Stegostoma tigrinum: one gene and its partner. The protein of the gene in region 2 binds, or shares a complex with, the protein of the main gene of each other region. Links are inferred from orthologs where the notes say so. Each region holds a gene or a part of one and is shown on either strand. Other genes may lie near its edges.

Region 1 (12,599 bases), on a different chromosome or scaffold from region 2:
GACGATTATGTAATTGAAAAGCCAAGTGGTTATTTTTCAGGGAAAAAGAAATATATCTGCCAAAAAAAAAGTCAACCACTGAAAAAGAGTTATTGCATTTGATACTGGCCTTACAACATTTTAATGTTTACATCACAAACAATGCATCAAAGACAACAGTGTATACTAATCACAATCCTTTGACATTTCTGAAAAGATTTAAGGACAAGAACACCAGGCAATTTCTTTGGAGTCTTATGTTACAAGCATTTAATTTACATATCGTACATTGTGGGTCATGAAAATGTTATGGCAGATGCATTGTTGCGGGTTTAAAAGAAAAATGCTGATACAAGATAGAAACATTGTATTCAATGTTATATACAAATGGAGTTGGTATGAAATATGTAACCATATCTTGAGCAGCTTGAAAGTCTGCAATTACAGACAGCACCCGAATTGAAACATTTGCACCGAAAGGCCATGACGTTTGCACGCCAAACAGCATTTTTACCAAGACAACAGGTTTTTGAATTTAGTCAATTTGAATCAAGTACTTAGATACCAATAACCACTCAAATTTGAATCTGATGGTTTTGACAACCAATCTGATTGCAAGAAATTGATATGTCATCGGGGGTATAAAAGTAAAGGGCAGTTGGACAAAGATAGGAAAGTTAAATGCCTTTTGCCACAGTTAACAGCTCTCATGAGAAACTTGCTGGCTCTCTTTAAAACTTTTAGGAGTCTGTGAAAGCACCATCTAAATATCAAAAGGTACCAACAGCATAACTAGTTAATATTCCTGACAGAAGAATCAACTAAGGAGGCATTCCTGGCAGAACAAATAGACGGACAAGGCACAGAGCATTAAAGGATATACTTAATATGGCTGTAATTTTGAAAGACTATATTCTACTCATTTTATTTTTAAGTAGGACTTCTATTTATTGGAACAGCATGCTATTAGGATCTTGTTTTATCTGGAAATAGTAGTTAGTAGGTTTTTTTGGATTTGTTAATAATTTAGTAAATTTGTTCAGTGTTAGAGTTAGATAATCAAATTGTTATTTGTTGCCTGTAAAGTGTGTGTCAGGGATTTATTTTGTTCAACCACTAGAATTTGCTGAAAAGCAGGTTACACCACTTTTCACAGTCCTTTCACAGATTACGGGGCATGATGTTCCTCTTTGGAGGTTTCGGTTTTAGTTCAGAGGGGGGATAACCTCCACTTTATAACACTATCCAGAAGCTAATATCAATCAATAAGCAGAGATGGTGATGATTATTGGAACTTGCCGGCAGTTAGGATACAGGCAGTAGAGTTTTAGATGTCCTCAAGTTCATGTAGCATTGAAGATGGGAAATAGGTAAGGTGAGAATGGAAATAATACTTAAAGAACAAGGATGATGGTTTCAGCAGATTTGCACAACAGCCTGGAGGTGGGTAACAAAGCAGAGGTAAAAGTAACCAGTTATGGGAATAGAGCAGTTAAACACTTGGAAGACAATGTCAAGTCAGTTACAGTCAAAGTTGCGAACACACTCTCACTAAACATTAAATAGCTGCTGTGGAGATGGATGGTGCTCAGGGCCAGGGAAATTAAATTAAAGCAATACCTTTTGTTTTTCCGATATTTAATTGGAACAAACATATGCTTCAGTATCATATTCTGGACAGTCAGACAAATCAGAGACATTACTGGAGTTAAGAATGATAGCAAAGATGATTCAGGTGTCATGAGCTTCCAAGTGGAATCTGATGAGTTTTTATGATGGCAGAATGTAGATGAGGAATAGAGGGCAGCCATGAACAGACTAATTGGGAACTCCAGAGCTAAAAGACTGCAAGTACAAGGAGAATTATTTTTATGACCATGGCTGGGTTGATAAGATTGGAACCAAGTGAGTGTAATCCTATCCTATTGGATAGTGGAGGACAGGTTGAAACAGAATGTTGCAGTTGGCCATGTAAGGATTAGGAAGAATGAGGAGGAATAGCTTATCATAGTTACTGTCTCATGGAATGTCATTTGCAACTGTGGTACAGTCAGAAAATTGATTGGGTGGCTTCAAACACAGAGCTGCAGAAAATATGGACACTGATTAGACAGAGATTAAATGGTTTTGGAATGTCAAAGGCAGTTGAAGATCATGCAGGACAGTAGCCAGGACAGGGTAGATCAAGAATGGTTTTTACTAAGGAACGGGAAAGTCATGGAAGTTTTGATGGGAAGAGAAAAACTACAAGAATATGAAACCATTATCAAAATCAGCTAACATCGAAGCCGGGAAGGGAAGCTGCTCAGCAGTTTAATATGGTCAAGAGAAAACGATGTGAATCATGTGGACAAGAAGAGTTGGGTAGAGTCTGATTGGAGATGAAAGGAACTAGAAAATGAATCAAATTCAGTGACAGCACAATATGGCAGGGGATCTTTAGATGCGGTTAGACACAGTAGAAAGGGGCATTTGTAGCTGAATGAATATCTGCTTTGTGACAAAGATTTCCTGCCAGACGTGCTGAGCTTTTCCAGCAACTTCACTGTTGTTGTTGTGTAGGGTTTAACAAGTCTATTTGTTGTTGACACAGCTTTGAAGGAAGGGACAAAGAGTAGGATATATAAAAATTTGCAGGTGACACTAAGAAGGAACACAGAGTCGATGAGCTGAAGCGTTCAGAAAGGAAAACAGGCAGATGAAGTGATGGAATAAAACTATGACAGTTGCACTTCAAGGAAAAATGTATAGAATCATTCACTTCAGATCCAAAGAGAAATCAATCTTATTTTTAGAAGTCAGGAGAGACTGCAAGCAGAGGAGCATTTGTTTCCATGTGCACAAATCAATAGAAATTAGTATGAATAACAAAAAGTAATCAAAAAAGACTAAAAAGAATGTTGATCTTAGTTCAAACAGATTAGAATTCAACAATTAGCAAGTAATACTTCACTTAGGGACAAACTTTGTTCAGACCCCACAATTACATTCAGTGTTGGCTGGCAGAAGATGAGGGAATAATATTATCAATCAACCAGGCCATTTAGAAACAAAATCAGGAAGCACTTTTTCATACAAATGGTCACAGAAATCTGGAACTCATTTCCATGAAAGGCTGTGAATGCTGGGTCAGTTGAAATGCTCAAAACCAAATTCTAGATCATTGTCAGACAATAAATTTACACAAGGTCACAGAACAAAGGCAGACAAACAAGATATAAAGTTCGCAACACCCTGATTTAACACAACAGATCAGTCTCAAGAAGCTGTACCGCCTCCTCCTCTTTATATAAACAGTAGACACCTAGAAGTTATTAGAGTTCCTGAAAGTATTTTGTTTGATTCAATCCAACTGGGAGGATAGAAATATACATTCTTAAAATCAGAAGTCACACTACACCAGGTTATAGTCCAATAGGTTTATTTGAAATCACAAGTTTTCACAGCACCACTCCATCAGGTGAAATGGAACTTCACTTCAAATTAGCTTCCTTCTGGTACATTAACTTAATGCACTATTAAAAATCTCAAAGCTCAGATATATTATTTCCACATTCTCATATGTGAAGGTACATATTTGAAATTCCATTTTAAGCAGATGTTACCAACAGATGTGTTATGTTGTATACGTGTGACTGATATCTACATAACACACCAGTCAGTTTCAAATCAAATATAATATTGATGACAGGAATGTTTGGATCAGATAATGGAGACGTAATACAGTTTTCATTTAAAAGACATATTTTCAATATGAATCTTCCGAGTCCGTATTTTATTTACGACAACTCATCTGTTGCGATTATACCAGTGGCGATGTTGCAGTGCCTCCACTCGGACTAAGTATTTGGTGAATTTTCATTGGTGCTTCCCATGATAATAGTAAAAAGTTGAACAGCAAATTATATTATATTTGATAATCCACTGCAGGCCAACATTACAGACTCACTGACAGAATGTTATCGTAATTACTTGTTATTGATTCTTTTTAACCAAACTTACAAATTTCCCACACTTTTATCCGCATGTTTCCCTAAAAGTCACTGTTATTAGCAGCCCAAGAACCAAAGGACAAAGAACAATCTCAATCACGAGCTAACCTAAATGTTCCGTTCAAGAGCGAAAATGGAGGTTGCAGGAAAATACAATGTTTCGTAAATTGGGAGCTTGTGAGTTTATAGCAATTCTTTAAGTCTGCCAAGCAGCCTACCTCTTGAATACACCAGCCACAGTCAGGATGAATAAGCAAACACTCTTTGCAGGAGGTAGCACGTCCACTTGTACAAATATTGGAACCTGTGACACAAATAAAGTTGTCACTTTCCCATGCATGACCATTAAGTAAGGGCGCAAATTGTTCGTTTTCCACAACTTCAGATTATGTTCATGCTGAAGTTCAGCAGTCAAGGTTTACTCCACAAACCTGAAGCATCAGCAACTAAATACAAGACACATTCCTGACCACTTATTTACTATTAACGACTTCGACCAAAACGCTTTAACTATCGTTTTAACTTACCGCTGACGTCTTGCAAAATCAGGTAAAAAACTAGATACGATAAAAGCAAATAATTTAAGGTCATTTTCTTGACCCTGGCTTTTTGCATCTCTGTTGAATGTGAGGATTCAAAACATATCTTGTCCCCAAGCCCCAACCACGATCCGATCAGCTCTCAAGTCGCCAGTCAAAAACAGTTGGACGCTGGGCTACAACAATCACAAGTGGACTTTCGACTCAAACATTTCGAGACTTCACGTCTCCCAAACTTTTCTGTGCGGTCGACATCTCGGAAACTCATGCTGACATGGGGCCGAGCCGGAGAGTGCCGAATGATGCCCGATGTCCAACTCCCAGCACTAACTTCGCACGGACTTCTTCTCCGCTCGCTCTGCCTCTCGGATTCGCCAGGGATTGAAGTTCACATGGCTATGAGCTGACTGAGTTACAGCCCCGCTGTAAGCAGCCGGTGCAGTGCACTGCCGGCCGCCCCCAAACACTTTTGTTGCTCTTCAATCGCGAGCTCCGGGACAGCGTCTCCTTCACCGCATCATCCAATCCCTTCTCCGCCTGGCACGTTGCGGCCCAATCAGCGCAGCACACACTGTTAACCCTTGCAGTTCCGCGGCTCTCTCCCGTCTGCAAACCAAAAGCTGCCTGTACCCCGCCGCATTGAGCGAGTCCGTGGAGCCGTGCATGTAAAGCAGGCTAATCCACTTCAGTTTAAACATTCTAGATGCAGGTCTGCATTGGCCCGAAACTTAGTTCGGAGGCCACCAGTGATTTGGCAATACACCCAATGATTTTTGTTACATAACTGTTGCAAGGGGCGCACGATGAGACGTAAACAGAAAGAGTAGCCAATTATGTTCACGTAAACGTTCCGGCGAGCCTTGTTTTCGGGTTGAAACTTGCGAGTTAGAGTAGAGCACAAAACTAACAACCTTCGAGCAAGTTGGTTTGCTTTGTTCAACAAGGAGCTGCCTGGTTTGCAGCAGTAACCTGTCAATCAGCTGAAAATAGTTCAGTTGGTGTTAATTACCGCGAAGAAGCTAAGCTAGTTCGTGACTTGTCAGGGTCAGGAAAGGACCCGATTCGGCGATCATGCCTGAGTGATATATAAAGTAGTGGATTAAGCTGATGTTGGAATTTCAGAAAAGATGTTTTGCGTGTGGTTTATTGCAACCAGTACCAAGTGTGAAAACTAATAGTCCCATTTATTAGTATTTAAAAAGTTCATCGATATCTGAAGATTATTCCGTTCGATACAAGTAAAAAGAATGTTGCTAAGTGAAATGAGGTTGAGGGAAAAGTGTGGCCTGGTCACGTGACATGCGTATTCTGCAGTACGTAGATAGTACATCAAGTGTCACTAGCTGCAGTAACTTAGCTCTGGGTTTGGTAGCTTGGATGATGCGTTCTTGAGATACAATTGTCGTGCATCTGAGCCAGGAGATCTGGGGACAAGACCCACTTATTCTACAGGTGTGTACTAATTTATCTGAACAGGTTGACCAATAACATATGAAGGTTTAGTGAAATCCCCTTGTGGCATTAGTGGTAATGTCCCTTTCCCCTGAGCCAGGGAAGCTTGATTTCAAGTGCCATCTGATCCAGCCGTGTGGACAAACATTTCTAAACAGGTTACTTATAAAATATCTGGAAGGGAGTCACAGATGAATCTATGAAGCTAAGGGCTATGTGGATAGTGCTTTTTGGAGAAATGGTCATGGTTGGGGACTGGAAGTATGGAAACAGCAAAGAAATGGGTGACTGCCAGGCAATCCAAGAGAACCAGGCAGATAGTGCAGGGGTCCGCTGAGGAAATGGCTACAAATTGATTTTTCTGCCTGGGATGCTAGTGAGAGCATTGGCTGCTTGGAGGGGTGCAGTCAGAGATAGGTATGTAGTGTAATGGATGACCCAGCTGTACAGGAGGGTAGATAGAGGAGTGGAAGAGCAGTAATATGGGGAAACAGACAAGTGTGTTTTTGACCACAAATGTGACTTCAGAATGGTAGGTTTTCTCACAGTTGCCAGGGTCAAGGCTGTCATGGAGTGGTTGCAGGCCATTCCTCTGGGGAAGAGTAAACATCAAAGTTGTGGAATACATTAGTACCAATTACTGATAAGAAGGGTGTGGTCCTAAAAATGGATTCGAAGGAGCTAGAAGGAGATTGAAAGTCGGGATCTCTTAACAGCAGCAATCTCAATTCTTCTGCTGGTGCTGCTGATTGCTCAAGGTGTGTCATGAATGCCTAGTCTCATTGCTAGGTTATTTGAAGTCAGTCCCATTTAGCACAGTGATGGTGCCACATTACACAACTTCAATGTCCTCAATGTGAAGATGGGGCTTTGACTTCATAAGAACCATTCAATGGTTACACTTAATAATGCTGTCAGAGCCAGATGCATCTGTGGCAGGTGGATTGGTGTGAATGAGACTTGTGTATTTCCCTTTAGTTTCCCTCACTACCTGTTACAGACTTAGCCCAGCAGCAATGTCCTTTCAGACTCGATCAGGTCAATCAATAGTGCTGGTCAGGAGCGGGGACAGTACATTAGCAAAAAAACTTGCTGATGATTATTATGTCTGATCCAATGCTATTTGACTTCGTGAGGTGCAGAGCCAATTTTGGTAGATTTCCCTCCTGACTGTATGCTACTCTGCTGAGTGTATTCAGCAGGTAGAAGAGGAATAACCAGGGATGGTGATAGTTGGTTATGGGACATTTGTGTGTACAGAATGATTCAGGGAGTATGACTGTCAAGCTATTGCCAGACTAGTCAGTGGGACAGCTTTCCCAGTTTTGTTATGAGCCCTCATTTATGAGAAAGGAGTACTCGGTTAATCGGGCTGTTTCCCATTGTAATTTAAGTGCCTAGATAGATACTAAGTGGTCTGTCTGGTTTTCACTTTTTTGATGGGACTTTCTAGTAATTTATAGAGCCATGCAGCATGAAAACAGACACTTCAGTCTTCATCCACACCAACCAGACATTGCAATCTGGCCTAGTCTCATTTGCCAGCATTTGGCCCACATCACTCTAAACCCTTTCTATTCAAGTACCCATTCAGGTACCTTTTCAATGTTGTAATTGTACCAACCTTCAGCTCTTTCTCTGGCAGTTTGTTCCATACGTGTACCACCCTCTGCATGAAAAAAAAATTGCCCCCCTGTCTTATTTAAAATATTTCCCCTCTCACCTGAAACCTATGTCCTCTAGTTTTGGACTCCCCAACCCAAGGGTAAAAAATCCTGGGTTATTCATGCTATCCAAGCCCCAAGTAATTTTATAAACCTCTAGAAGTTCACCCCTCAGCCTCCTGCAGGGAAAATAGCCAAGCCTATTCAGCCTTTCCTTATGGTTCAAGTCCTTCAAACCAGGCAACAACCTTGTAAACCTTTTCTGAACCTTTTTAAGTTTAACAACGTCTTTTCTATAGCAGAGAGACCAGAATTGAATGCACTATTCCAAAACAACAATAGAGATTCCTAGAAAAGCTCAACAGATCTGGCAGCATCCATGGAGAGAAATCAGAGTTGACATTTTGGGTCACGTGATCCTTGCTCAGAACTTCTGTCCACAGATGCTGCTAGACCTGCTGAGCTTTCCCAACAATCTTTATTCTTGTTTCTGAATTACAGTATCTGCAGTTCTTTTGATTTCCTTTTTCGGCAGAATTCCAAAAGTGGCCTAACTATTGTCCTGTACAGCCGTGATATGACATGCCAACTCCTCATACTCAGTTTCTGATCAAAGAAGGCAAATGTGCCAAATGCCACCTTCTCCACTCTGTCTACCTGAGATTCCACTTTCAAGGAAGAATGCTCATCTAGGTCTCTTTGTTTGACAACACTTCCCAGGGTCCTACCATTGCCCTGCAACACGTCACATTTATCTAAATAAAACTCTATCTGCCCATTGGCCATTAGTTAATTAATAATAGCTACTGTATCTATTATTTGATTAGGTTTTCCAATAGTTGTTATTCTAAATTATCTTTCTTTTGTTGGTATTTTAACTACAGTGTTTAAATAAATTATGTTTTGCTTAACATCAAGTGATCTGACCAGTTGCATTACATCCAGAACATGCACTTTTAAAATAAGAAAAAGTTACGATCTAGGCTACCTTCTTAAAATATCTTGATGGGACTTGGGCTGGTCCATAACATGTAAATGATGAAAATCAATGGACCCAACACCATTGTCACAGGGCTCCAGTCCAAAAAGCAACCCTCTACCCACGATCCTCTGTCTCTTACCTTAAAACCGGTTTTGTATCCAATTGGTTAGCTTCCCCACATTCCATGTCATCTGACCTTACTAACCAGTCTACCATAAGGAACCTTGTGGAAAATTTTGTCAAAGTCCATATAGCAACATCTACCACTCTGCCTTCATCAATTATCTTCGTCACTTCTTCAAACTCAAAAAATTCAAATCAAGTTAGTGAGACATGATTTCTCATGTACAAGCGATATTGACTATCTCTAGTTAGTCCTTGCCTTTCCAAATACATGTAAATGCTGTCCCTCAGAATCCCCTCCAACAACGTACCCACAACTGAAGTAAGGGTCACTAGTGTATTGTTCTCAACTTTTCCTTACAACCTTTCTTAAGTACATTAAACAACCTCCACGCTTCTAGCATCTCATGCGTGGCTATTGATGATACAAAATATCAGCAATTTCTTCCCTAGCTTCCCACAAAATTCTGAACATCACCTGATCAGGTCTGGGGATTTATCTACTTTTATGTATTTTAAGACCTCCAGCACCACTTGTTTTGCAATGTGAACTCTTTTCAAGACATCACTACTTATTTCCCCATGTTCCCTAGCTTCCATGTCCTTCTCCACAGTATATACAGAAGCAAAATATTAATTTTGTATCTCACCCATCTCCTGTGTTAGTTTCCATACATGTGTGGCTACATTGACTTTTAAGGGTCTCTATTCTGTCTCTAGTTGTCTTTTGGTCTTAATGTATTTATGAAATCTCTTTGGATTCTCCTTAACTCTATTTGCCAAAGCTATCTCGTGGCCCCTTTTTGCCCTTTTGAATATTCTCCTACTTTCTTTATGCTTCTTTAGGGATACACTCAAATCCCAGCTGTCTAAGTCTAATATATACAACTGAGTGACTTTCTAGACCATTTCGGTGTTGACCATATTGTTGGCGGTCTGGATCCACATATAGGCCAGCAGATTGTTTCCCTAAAGGGTATTACTGAACCAGATGTTCATTTTTGTCCCTAGCAATCCTCATGATCACTAGACTATTATTTTTAATTTTGCCATTTGTCTTGGAGGGATTTGAACCCAGCTCTCCAGAATATTGCCTGGGTTTCTGAACTACTAGTCTAGTGATAATACCACTATATTCTCTCCCAGTCCATAACTGTTGATAATAATAGAGAAACTCCAATTTTCATTCCATAGCTGACCAGGAATGCCTCCCACTTACTGCCTTGCCATCAGCATATTTTGAAATGACTTACAAGTTGGTATTTGACCTGTTTGACCATATCATGAACATACCTTTCCTTGGCCATCAAGCCTTAAAGTAAGACTTGAATGCATAGCTTCTGGCTCAGAGGCAGGGTCACAACCTGTATTACCAGAAGACTTCTTTGAGGTTAATTTGAAATGGGTCTCCATAAATCCTGCCTGACACCCTCAGTATTTTTGGAATCTGTTTGCTTTTTATATCACATTTCCAGCATCTGCAATGTTTAGTTTTTGTGGTGATGACCTTTCATGATTTCAGTGCTATTAAGCAACATTCTTGACAGGGTGCAAAGAAAACATGCAAAATATTTCCATCACAATGAAACTTAATTTTAGATAGTATAAATCTGAAGTGACTGTAAAACTACTGGATTACTGTAGCGTAGCTTATAGTTTTAAAAAACAAACTATATGTCTAGCCTAGCAAACCACTTTTGAGACAAACCCAAAAAAGGGAAAGAATTAGAAAAAGTTGCAATTTTAATTGTATTGTTTTGAAATGTTATAATTGAACAATGCTAATTGGATTATATTGGATATTTTTCCTTAAACTAACAAATATTCCCTCAGCACCTGATGTCCAAAACCACTCCATGAGGAAGTAAGTGTTTTACTCTTACAGAACATCTTAAAAAATGTTTGCATCTACATTTTAATATTGGTTCATAGCTTATTTTTAAGCATTAGTTCGTGGTGCAATAAACGTTGTACATAGGAGAGCCCTGAAACATTTTAATTCCATATTTGAACATAATGGCATTGTTCATGGTAATTTGTGGCATGGTACAAACAATATGTACTTTCAAATAGAATAAATATCATACTTTCAAGTGCTTTGTGGTGGCAATATGGCACATAGCCCATGGCCATAATATCTCCCCATTCTGTGAATCAATCTGAAGAAATAACCAGTTGCTGCCGTATCCATTGCACTGAGACTGTCTTGTACTCTTATGTAATGAAGTTACAGAAATATTGGTTGCTCATTTTATGCCTCTGTATGTTTTTCAATGCATTTTGCTAATTTGGCAAAGATCAAGAATGTGCAAAAAAATCATTTTCTTAACTGACCCCACCACCAAAGACATCTTTCCCTCCCCACCCTTGTCTGCTTTCCGGAGGGACCACTCTCTCCAGGACTCCCTTGTCCGCTCCACACTCCTCTCCAGCCCACCATACCCGGCACTTTCCCCTGCAATCGCAGGAAGTGCTACACATGCCCCCACACCTCCTCCCTCACCCACATCCCAGGCCCCAAGACTTTCCACATCAAGCAGATGTTCACCTGCACATCTGCCAATGTAGTATACTGCATCCGCTGTACCCGTTGTGGCCTCTTCCTCCTCTCGGGGAAACAAAGCGGAGGCTTGGGGACTGCTTTGCAGAACACCTGTGCTCGGTTCACACCAAACAATTGCACCTCCCTGTCGCGAACCTTTTCAACTCGCCCTCCCATTCTTTCGACGACATGTCCATCCTGGGCCTCCTGAAGTGCCACAATGATGCTACCTGAAGGTTGCAGGAACAGCAACTCATATTCCCTTGGAAACCCTGCAGCCCAATGGTATCAATGTGGACTTCACAAGCTTCAAAATCTCCCCTCCCCCTACTACATCCCAAAACCAACCCTGCTCATCCCCGCCTCCCTAACCTGTTCTTCCTCTCACCCATCCCCTCCTCCAACCTCAAGCCACAGCCCCATTTCTTACCTACTAATCTCACCCCAACCCCTTGACCTGTCCATCATCCCTGGACTGACCTATCCCCTCCCTACCTCCCCACCTACATTCACCTCTACTGGTGCTATCCCTGCCTCTTTAACTTGTCTGTCTCCTCTCCACCTATCTTCTCCTCTATCCATCTTCAATCTGCCTCCCCCCCGCCGGCCCTATTTATTTCAGAACCGTCTCGTCCTCCCTCATTTCTGATGAAGGGTCTAGGTCCGAAACGTCAGGTTTTGTGCTCCTAAGATGCTGCTTGGCCTGCTGTGTTCATCTAGCTCTACATTTTGTTGTCGGATTCTCCAGCATCTGCAGTCCCTATTATCTCTTGAGTACAAATTTGTCAGGCACATCACACTCGACCATAATTGGCCATCTAAATTTCTAAAATAGTTAGAAACATAGCAATAGGAGTCGGCCACTCAACACCTTTAGCACCATTCAGTTAGTTAAATGCGTGTAAGGATTAAACCTGTGAAAAAATTAGTGCAAGGTTCACAGATGTTACAGAACAGGGAGATTTGTTGGTACAGTAAAGGAATGTTAAAATTAAACTTAACAAGACTATGGGAATCTAAGAGGGATAACAGAATCAAGGGAAGCAAAACAAACTGAAGAAAATAGAAAAACTGTAGGCAAAATTAGAACACAGACAAAGCAATGGCAAGCGTCAAAATGGACAATAATGATACAAAGGCTAAATTGCAGGCACTGCATTTGAAGACACATCACACTCACAACAAGGTATGTGAATGCATAAATGAGACAAATGAGTATGATTTAATAGCTATTAGCAACTGGGCCACCAAGTGAAGGACATTGGAATCAGAATACCCTTAGATAGTCTATGAGCCATAGATGAAAAGAAAGACTAGCACTCCTAA
Region 2 (10,362 bases):
TCCCCCCTTCCCCTTCTCCCCGCCCCTCCCCCTCCCCTTCTCCCCGCCCCTCCCCCTCCCCCTTCTCCCCGCCCCTCCCCCTTCTCCCCGCCCCTCCCCTTCTCCCCGCCCCTCCCCCCTCCCCTTCTCCCCGCCCATCCCCCTTCTCCCCCCCCCTCCCCGCCCCTCCCCCTTCTCCCCCCCCTCCCCCCCTCCCCCTTCTCCCCCCCCTCCCCGCCCGCCCCCTTCTCCCCCCTCCCCGCCCCGCCCCCTTCTCCCCCCTCCCCGCCCCGCCCCCTTCTCCCCCCTCCCCGCCTCCTTCTCCCCTTCTCCCCCTCCCCGCCCCCTTCTCCCCCCCGCCCCTCCCCCTTCTCCCCCCCGCCCCTCCCCCTTCTCCCCCCGCCCCTCCCCCTTCTCCCCCCCTCCCCGCCCCTCCCCCTTCTCCCCCTCTCCCCCCCTCCCCGCCCCCTTCTCCCCCCCTCCCCGCCCCTCCCCTTCTCCCCCTTCCCCGCCCCTCCCCCTCTCCCCCCTCCCCGCCCCCTTCTCCCCCCTCTCCCCCTCCCCTCCCCTTCTACCCCCTCCCCGCCCCTCCCCCTTCTCCCCCTCCCCGCCCCCTTCTCCCCCCTCCCCCTCCTTCTCCCCTTCTCCCCCCCTCCCCGCCCCCTTCTCCCCCCGCCCCTCCCCGCCCCCTTCTCCCCCCCGCCCCGCCCCTCCCCCTTCTCCCCCCGCCCCTCCCCCCTCTCCCCCCCGCCCCTCCCCCTTCTCCCCCCCGCCCCTCCCCTTCTCCCCCCGCCCCTCCCCCTCTCCCCCCCGCCCCTCCCCCTTCTCCCCCCGCCCCTCCCCCTCTCCCCCCCGCCCCTCCCCCTTCTCCCCCGCCCTCCCCGCCCCTCCCCTTCTCCCCCCCGCCCCTCCCCCTTCTCCCCCCCCGCCCCTCCCCCTTCTCCCCCCCGCCCCTCCCCGCCCCTCCCCCCCGCCCCTCCCCCTTCTCCCCCCCGCCCCTTCTCCCCCCGCCCCTCCCCTTCTCCCCCGCCCCTCCCCCGCCCCTCCCCTTCTCCCCCCGCCCCTCCCCCCCACCCCTCCCCCTTCTCCCCCCCCGCCCCTCCCCCCCACCCCTCCCCCTTCTCCCCCCCCGCCCCTCCCCCCCACCCCTCCCCCTTCTCCCCCCCCGCCCCTCCCCCTTCTCCCCTCCCCTTCTCCCCCCCGCCCCTCTCCCCCCCGCCCCTCCCCCCCCGCCCCTCCCCCTCTCCCCTCCCCCCCCCGCCCCTCCCCCCTCCCCCCCCGCCCCTCCCCCTTCTCCCCCCCGCCCCTCCCCCTTCTCCCCCCCGCCCCTCCCCCCTCTCCCCCCCCGCCCCTCCCCCCCTCTCCCCCCCCGCCCCTCCCCCCGCCCCTCCCCCCTCTCCCCCCCCGCCCCTCCCCCCTCTCCCCCCCGCCCCTCCCCCTTCTCCCCCCCGCCCCTCCCCGCCCCGCCCCCTTCTCCCCGCCCCGCCCCCTTCTCCCCGCCCGCCCCCTTCTCCCCCCTCCCCGCCCCGCCCCCTTCTCCCCCCCTTCTTCCCCCCTCACACGTCCCACCACATGCCACACGCCCCGCCCCCACTCCCACTCCTTCTCACGCCCCCGCTCCCACTCTTTCCCTCTGTCTTCCCCTTTGTCACCCCCCTCCCTTGGACTGACCTGTCCGGCTACGGCTGCTGGTGCCTGCGGGGGAAGAGTTTTCTTCCCAGGGGTTCACTGCCACATCCGGGAATTCCCGAACCGCAGGCGCCGCATCCGGGCAACCGCATCGCCGTGGCAACGGGGAGAGACCAACCTCCCCCGGCACGGGGGTTAAGGGAGAGAGTAATTCCCTGCTTGCAGCGGGGGGAATCAGGGAGAGACTAATTCTCAGACTCGGGGAAATCAGGGAGAGACTAATTCTCAGGCTGGGCGGGTGTTACTGGGAGAGACTAATTCTCAGGCGGGGGGTTACTGGGGGAGACTAATTCTCAGGCTAGGGGGTTTACTGGGAGAGATTAATTCTCAGGTGGTGGGGCGTGTTACTGGGAGAGACTAATTCTCAGGCTGGGGGGGTTAGTGGGAGAGACTAATTCTCAGGTTAGGGGGTGTTACTGGGAGAGACTAATTATCAGGCTGGGGGTTTACTGGGGGAGACTAATTCTCAGGCTGCGGGGGTTACTGGGAGAGATTAATTCTCAGGCTGGGGGGGGTGTTACTGGAAGAGATTAATTCACAGGCTGGGCGGCGTTACTGGGAGAGACTAATCCTCAAACTGGGGGGGGTCACTGGGAGAGACTAATTCTCAGGCTGGGGGTTTACTGGGAGAGATTAATTCACAGGCTGGGCGGGGTTACTGGGAGAGACTAATCCTCAGGCTGGGGGGGGTCACTGGGAGAAACTAATTCTCAGACTGAGGGCAGGGGGTGGACAGGGAGAGATTTATTCTTCTCCCTGTAGGGAAGGACTGGGAGAGACTAAGTCACTACATTGAGGGGAGTTGAGACTAGTTTGTGCACAGCAAGCTCCCAGAGGCAGCAACGTGAGAAAAACTGGTTCATCTGTGTTTTAGAGACACTGACTGAGGGATAAACATGTTCGGGGACAGGTGCCCGCGGGATCCTACCCCTCGCGCCGAGGGGCTGGCTTCGGTTTAACGTCTCACCTCAGGGGCGGCCCCTGCGACAGGGCTGCACTCCCGCAGCACCACACGGAGGATTTCTGATCGAGGGGGTGTCACCGTCGACGGTGTCTGTCGAAACGTCTGGCCTGCTCCCAGCGGTGACTCCCCGCCCCGGCGTGGTGCTGTCGTGTCGCTGGCCTGCTCCAGAGCCAGGCCCCGGCGCGGACTGGAAGCTAAGTGGTCGGCTGTGCTGAACTTTTATTTCTGTAAAGCTGGACATTTTTGTGTTCTGTACTGAAAACAAGTGCAGGGGACCCCCCCGGGGGCCAGAGAACATCCATTGCTGGGGGGGAGAGAGAGACTTTCGAGCCTGGGTTTTATGGTCTGCATCGTGTAAAGCTTGTAACGAGAGGAGCCTGGGCACTTGCACATCGCAGTGGCAGTGTATAAACTGTTTTTAACTGTACTCACCGAGTACGTGTGACAACAAAGACTGTCCTGTCCTAATACTAACTCCCTGCCGGCCTGGACTAAAGTCCTTGGTGTTAGTTGTACCGGACCTAACACGTCCGACCGACATCGCTCAACCAGCAAAGTCTCCATCTGAAATATTGCTGCCCTCTGGCACCTGCTGGTTTTATGATGGTCTCACATCTCGATCCAGTTCTCGAAAGGTTTTGGAGCAGAAACACGAGAACACACACAGATTGTAAAATGATTGCGGCAAATATATCCCTTTCAAACCTAATCCCCCCGTTCAATCAGTCACAGACAATCTCCCAGACGCGCCATGGTTCTCTTAAGCTCAGGGACCTTTTTGTTCTTTAATATAATCCACATCTCAACTCTCTCGGGCAGAGAATTCAACACGTTCTCATCCACTAGGCACCGAAATTCTCGTCTCAGCTCAACCCAGAGGCAGTGCCCCCTTGGATCTAGTTAAAGTAAACAGCACCTCAGCATCTACGCTGTCATCCACGAGGAATTTAACACATTTCAATGAGATGACCTCATTCCACTGAACTCCAGAGGGTAGAGGCCCATTCTACTTAATCTCTTCTCACAGCCCACCCCCCTCTCTCCGGCAATCAATCCAAGGTATCTTTGCTGCACCCTCTCTGAAAGGCAACTTATCTAAATGGAGAGAAACCTCAAAATGTTTTGTAGAGCGACCTGGGTATCCTTGTGCATGAATTGCACAAAACTAGTGTGCAAGTAGAGCAGATAATAAGGAAGGAAAATGGAATTTTCATATATACTGCTAAAAGAATAGAGCATAAGAGGAGGGAAGTGTTGCTAATACTGTACAAGGCATTAGTGAAACCACACCTTGAGTATTGCATACAATTTTTGGACCACTTACTTGAGGAAAGATGTCATTGAATTGGGGGCCATTAATAAGAGCCTCACAAGATTAATTCTAGAGATAAAAGAGTTTGTCTTATGTCAGTGTAGATTTATATGCTCTTGATTTTAGATGTAATTGAGATCTTAAAATACTATAAGACCATAAGACATAGGAGTGGAAGTAAGGCCATTCAGCCCATCAAGTCCACTCTGCCATTTAAATCATGGCTGATGGGCATTTCAACTCCACTTTCCTGCACTCTCCCCGTAGCCCTTGATTCCTTCTGAGATCAAGAATTTGTCGATCTCTGCCTTGAAGGCATCCAACGTCCCAGCCTCCGCTGCACTCTGCGGCAATGAATTCCACAAACCCACCACTTTCTGGCAGAAGAAATGTCTCCTCGTTTCAGTTTTAAATTTACCCCCTCTAATTTTAAGGCTGTGCCCACGCCTTAGTCTCCCCGCCTAACGTAAACAACTTCCTAGCGTCCACCCCTTCTAAAACGTACATTATCTTGTAAGCTTCTATTAGATCTCCTCTCAACCTTCTAAACTCTAATGAGTACAATCCCAGGATCCTTAGCCACTCATCATACGTTAAACCAACCACTCCAGGGATCATCCGTGTGAATCTCTGCTGGACACGCTCCAGGGCTAATATGACCTTCCTGAGGTGTGGGGCCCAAAATTGGACACAGTATTCTAAATGGGGCCTAAATAGAGCTCTATAAAGTCTCAGAAGCACATTGCTGCTTTTATATTCCAACCCTCTTGAGATAAACGACAACATTACATTCGCTTTCTTAATTACGGACTCTACCTGCAAGTTAACCTTTAAAGAGTCCTGGACCAACACTCCCAGATCCCTTTGTACTTCTCCTTTGCGAATTTTCTCACCATTTAGAAAATAGTCCATGCCTGTATTCTTTTTTCCCAAAGTGCAAAACCTCACATTTACTCACATTGAATTTCATCAGCCATTTCCTGGACCACTCTCCTAAACTGTCTAAATCTTTCTGCAGCTTCCCCACCTCCTCAGTACTACCTGCCTGTCCACCTATCTTCGTATCATCGGCAAACTTCGCCAGAATGCCCCCGGTCCCTTCATCCAGATCATTAATGTATAAGGTGAACAGCTGTGGCCCCAACATTGAACCCTGCGGGACACCACTCGTCACCGGTTGCCATTCCGAAAAAGAGCCTTTTATCCCAACTCTCTGCCTTCTGTCAGACAGCTAATCCTCGATCCAAGCCAGTAGCTCACCTCGAACACCATGGGCCCTTACTAAAGGGGATCAACAGAGTAAATGTAGAGACAATGTATCCTAGATAATAAAGTGTGAAGCTGGATGAACACAGCAGGCCAAGCAGCATCTCAGGAGCACAAAAGCTGACGTTTTAGGCTTAGACCCTTCATCAGAGAGCTCTCTTTTAAATGTTGTTAACGTACCCCCCTCAACCACTTCCACTGGCAGCTCGTTCCATATGTGTACCACTCACTGTGTAAAAAAGTTACCCTTCAGGTTCCCATGTATTTTGTCCCCTCTTACCTTAAACTGATGCCCTCTAGTCCTCGATCAGAGAGCTCTCTGATGAAGGGTCTAGGCCCGAAACGTCAGCTTTTGTGCTCCTGAGATGCTGCTTGGCCTGCTGTGTTCATCCAGCTTCACACTTTATTATCTTGGATTCTCCAGCATCTGCAGTTCCCATTATCACTGAGACAATTTATCCTTATGTGTGTCAATATGGAACAAGAGGGTCACAGTCATAGAATGAGGATTTAAGACTGAATTGAGGAGGAATTACATCCCTCCAAGGTCCATGAGCCTGTGGAATTCACTAGTGTGAGGGTGCTGAATAATTTAAGGAGATAGATTTTTAGTTTGTAATGGGTTAAAGGGTTATGGGATTTGAGGCCAGGATGAGATCAGCCATGATCATTTTGAATTGAGGAGCAGACCTGAGGGGTTGATTGGCCTCCACCTGCTCATAGTTCTTGTATAATGACATATCACACAAGTCAACAAAACATGCTCAGTATTGGTAGGAGGAATGTATTTCTGCATTTTATCCAACGCACTGCCAAAGCGTAAAGATTGTCATTTTTGTGAACATAGAACTCTGCATCGAGTCAAAGACTCCTACAGCACGGAGACATGCCCTTCAGCCCAAACTGGTCCATGCCGACCAAAATGTCCATCCACGCTAAATCTATTTTCCTGAACTTGGCCAAAATACTTCTAAGCTTTTGTTATCCATGTATTATCCAAATGCCTTTTAAATGTTGTTAACGTACCCCCCTCAACCACTTCCACTGGCAGCTCGTTCCATATGTGTACCACTCACTGTGTAAAAAAGTTACCCTTCAGGTTCCCATGTATTTTGTCCCCTCTTACCTTAAACTGATGCCCTCTAGTCCTCGATTTTCCCCAACCCTGGGAAAAAGACTGAATGCATTCACCCTATCCATGCCTTTCATGACGTAATACATTTCCATCAGATCATCCCTCAGTCTCTTATGCTCGTTAGAAAAAAGTCCCACCGTGTCCAACCTCTCCCAATAACTCTGTCCCTTGGGTCCTGGCAACATCCATGTAAATTTCTCCTGCACTGTTTCCAGTTTAATAACCTCCTTCCTATAGAATGTTGACCAAAACTGAACACGGTACTCTCAAATGCGGCCCCACCAATGTCCTGCACAACTGCAACATAACATCCCAACTTCCATACTCAGTGCCCTGACTGATGAAGACCAGTGTGCCAAAAGCCTTCTTAACTGCCCTGCCTACCAGTGCCTCCACTTTCAGAGAACCGTACATCTGAACTCCAAGGTCCCTCTGTTCCACTACACTCCTTAAGGGCCTACCATTCACCATGAAACTCCTACCTTGATATGACTTTGCAAAACGCAATATCTCACACTTATTATTAAACTCCATTTGCTACTTCTCAGCTCACTTCCCCAACTGATCAAGATCCTGCTGCAATTTCTAATAACCTTCCTCACTGTCCACGATACCACCTATTTTAGTGTCACCTGCAAACTTACTAATCATCCTTTGTATACTCTCATCTGAATCATTGACATAGATAACAAATACCAATAGGCCCAGCACCAACCCCTGAGGCACACCAATAGTCACAGGCCTCCAATTTGACAAACCTCCTTCCACTATTCCTCTCTGAATCCTAGCATCAAGCCAATTGTGCATCCAATTTGCCAGCTCTCCCTGCATTCTATACAATCTAACCTTCCAGAGCAGCCTCCCATGTGGAACCTTATCAAAGGCTTTAATGAAATCCACACAGACTACATCTACCGTCCTGCTCTTATCGACCTTTCTGATCACTTCAAAGAACTTGAAAAGATTTATAGGGCATCATCTTCCACACACAAAACCATGCCATCCTCATCAGACCCTGCCTTTCCAAATGCATGCATATCTTATCCCTCAGAATCTTCTCAAATAAGTTACCCACCACAATTTTAGATTTACTGTTCTATAATTCCCTGGTTTTTCTATGCAGCCCTTCTTGAATAAGGGCACAACATTCTGTACCCTCCAGTCTTCTGGGACCACACCCTTGGCTAATGATGCAAAGCCAGGCCTCCTGCAATTTTTTCTCTAGCCTCTTGTAGGGTTCTTGGATAGATCTGGTCAGGATCAGGAGATTTATCCACCTTCAGGCATTCTAATACTTCCAACACCACCTCTACTGCGATATGGGCTATTTCCAAGATATCGCCACTAATTTCCCCAACTTCCCAAGTCTTCATGTCTTTCTTATGGTAAACACAGAGGAGAAATATTCAGTGAGGACCTCGCCCATCTCCTGTGGTTCCACACATACATGTCCACTTTGGTCCTTGAGGGATCCTATTTTCTCTCTAGTTATTCTTTTTCCTTTAATATACTTAAAGAATCTCTTTGGATTCATCCTAATCTTCTCAGCCAAAGCTGTCTTGTGCCCTCTTTTTGCCCTCCTGATTTCCTTCTTCGTAAACTTCCTGTATCCCCTACATACCTCTAGGGATTCCCTTGATCCCAGCTGCCTGTGCCAGAGCCATGCCTCCTTTTTTCTGGTCAAAACCTCAAAATCTTTTGTCATCCAGGCTTCCCTACTCCTGCCAATCTTGCCCTCCACCCTCACAGGAACATACAGACCCCGAACTCTAACTGTCACTCTCAACAGCCTCTCCCTTGCCAGCCGTCCTTTAGCCCACAAACTACTCCAATCAACCCCTGCAAGCTCCTATCCAAGTCGATCAAAATTCACCTTGCCCCAGTTTAGAACTTGAACCTGTGGAATAATTTTGCCCCTCTCCATAACTATTTTAAAATTAATACAACTACAGTCACTGGTCCTGAAGTGCTCCCCCACTGTCACTGCAGTCACCTGCCTTGCCCTATTTCCCAACAGTAGGTCGAGTTTTGCCGCTTCCTGAATTGGACCCTCCATATACTGCTTAAGGCAACTTTCCTGAACACATTTAACAAATTCAACCCCATCGAAGCCCTTAGCAGTATGGCTGTCCCAGTCAATGTTAAGAAAGTTAAAATCCCCCACTATGACAATCCTATTGTTCCTGCAAGTTTCCCCAGACTCCCTGCATATTTGTTCCTCTAATTTCCATCAACTATTTGGGGGCCTATAGTACAACCCCAATAATGTCACCATCCTCTTCTTATTTCTTAGCTCCACCCACAAAGCCTCTCTGGATGATCCCTCAGTTATTTCTTCTCTATTGCTGGGATACTCCCTTCAATCAAAAATGCCACTCCTCGTCCCCCTCCACTCTTGCCTCCACCTCTGTCCAGCCTAAAGCACCTATGCCCTGGCACATTAGCTGCCAATCCTGTCCGTCCCTTAGCCATGTTTCTGTAATGGCTATAATATCCCAGACCCACATACCTATCCACACCCTGAGTTCATCGGACTTATCTGTCAGCACCCTTGCATTGAAATAGATGCAATTTAATCCAACAGGCATTCCTCACTCCCTGTCCTGTTCCAGTTTGGCATGTTTCTTCAACTTGCTGTTTCTTATTACGGTATCTCCTTTCAGCCTTGCACTTGCCTCCCTGCCATTGAGGATCCCAACCCCCCACCAGTCTTCCTCTGTTTAAAATTCTGTAAATCAGGTAGATTGGCTGGTCAATATGCAGTATTGTGCAGCTTACCTGCCTGGTTTTGGTAATGGCTTATGGTATCTCGAGTGAGTTTGTTCTAATTTTCTCAACAGGGAATCTCAGAGACACTCTCCCACAAAGAGGCTCTGAACCTCTCTGGTGGTATTGTGTCAAACAAGTCTTGCCAGGCAACTGCAGATACCAGGAACTCCCTAAAAAAAATTGGAGTGACATGGTGGTCCTGTGGTCAGCACTGCTCCCTCACAGTACCAGGAACATGGGTTCAATTCCAGCCTTGGGTGAAGTTTGCATGTTCTCCCTGGTTAGGTGCATTGGGCATGGTAAGTTGTTGAATTGTGTCGAGGGTTGTGCAGGCTTAGCTGGGTTAGCCATGGGAAATGCAAGATTACACGGATAGGGTCAGGAGTGGGATCCTCTTCAGAGGATTAGTGTGGATTCAATGGGCTGAATGGCCTGCTTCTATACTCCAGGGATTATATTCTGGGAAATGCAAGATTACACGGATAGGGTCAGGAGTGGGATCCTCTTCAGAGGATTAGTGTGGATTCAATGGGCTGAATGGCCTGCTTCTATACTCCAGGGATTATATTCTGGGAAATGCAAGATTACACGGATAGGGTCAGGAGTGGGATATTTCATGGGAAATGCAAGATTACACGGATAGGGTCAGGAGTGGGATCCTCTTCAGAGGATTAGTGTGGATTCAATGGGCTGAATGGCCTGCTTCTATACTCCAGGGATTATATTCTGCTCTCCTGCAATTCTGTTTCGATTTTAATCACTCCACAACTGACACCCTTCCTTTCAGCTGCACGGGCCCCAACTTCTGGAACTCCTTTGCTAACCTTTTCTGCCATTTTTAGGACACTACCCAAACTCTTTTGTTAACTAAACCCGTGAACATTAATGTGTTTTTATGCTTATTAACACCTCTGCTAACCCCCTTGGGGGCAATTTGTTGCATTAAAGATGCATTATAAATGTGTGAGTTACATTTATCTCCAAGAAACAATAAACAGAAAGTGCTGGAGAAACTCAGCAGGTCTGGCAGCATTTGTGGAGAGAGAAACAGAGTTACCGTTTCAAGACCAATTTGAAAGTTCTGAAGAAGATTCATACCAGACTCAAAATGTTAACTCTGTACCTCTGTCCACAGATGCTGCCAGACCTGCTGAGTCTCTCCAGCAACTCCATCTTCTGAATCTGTGGTACTTTGCTTCTATATGTTTAGCTCCAAATCCATGAATTGACAACCAAAAACGTTCACAG

Evidence for each region.
Region 1: the proteins of pak4 (region 2) and itgb5 are in contact, whole or in part, in a crystal structure (PDB 7S46), measured with the Homo sapiens proteins. The link is inferred for Stegostoma tigrinum from reciprocal best matches to the Homo sapiens genes PAK4 and ITGB5. Residues at the interface, in NP_001014831.1 of Homo sapiens: Gly330, Ser331, Gln358, Arg359, Leu362, Thr404, Lys442, Ser443, Asp444, Asp458, Phe461, Leu475, Val476, Gly477, Thr478, Pro479, Tyr480, Trp481, Met482, Glu507, Glu512, Phe516, Asn517, Glu518, Pro519, Pro520, Met524; in NP_002204.2 of Homo sapiens: Ser762, Arg763, Ala764, Arg765, Tyr766, Glu767, Met768, Ala769, Ser770.

Annotation. Positions count from the first base shown.
Region 1 is NC_081360.1:65,580,893-65,593,491, forward strand, and holds the start of itgb5 (integrin beta-5), read right to left. Parts: upstream 5,011-12,599; 5' UTR 4,587-5,010; coding exon 4,499-4,586; intron 4,276-4,498; coding exon 4,190-4,275; intron 1-4,189.
Region 2 is NC_081392.1:17,168,549-17,178,910, reverse strand, and holds the start of pak4 (serine/threonine-protein kinase PAK 4), read right to left. Parts: upstream 3,205-10,362; 5' UTR 3,065-3,204; intron 2,950-3,064; exon of another isoform or gene 2,636-2,949; intron 1,766-2,635; exon of another isoform or gene 1,651-1,765; intron 1,492-1,650; exon of another isoform or gene 268-1,491; intron 234-267; exon of another isoform or gene 177-233; intron 1-176. UniProt on the Homo sapiens protein: Serine/threonine-protein kinase that plays a role in a variety of different signaling pathways including cytoskeleton regulation, cell adhesion turnover, cell migration, growth, proliferation or cell survival.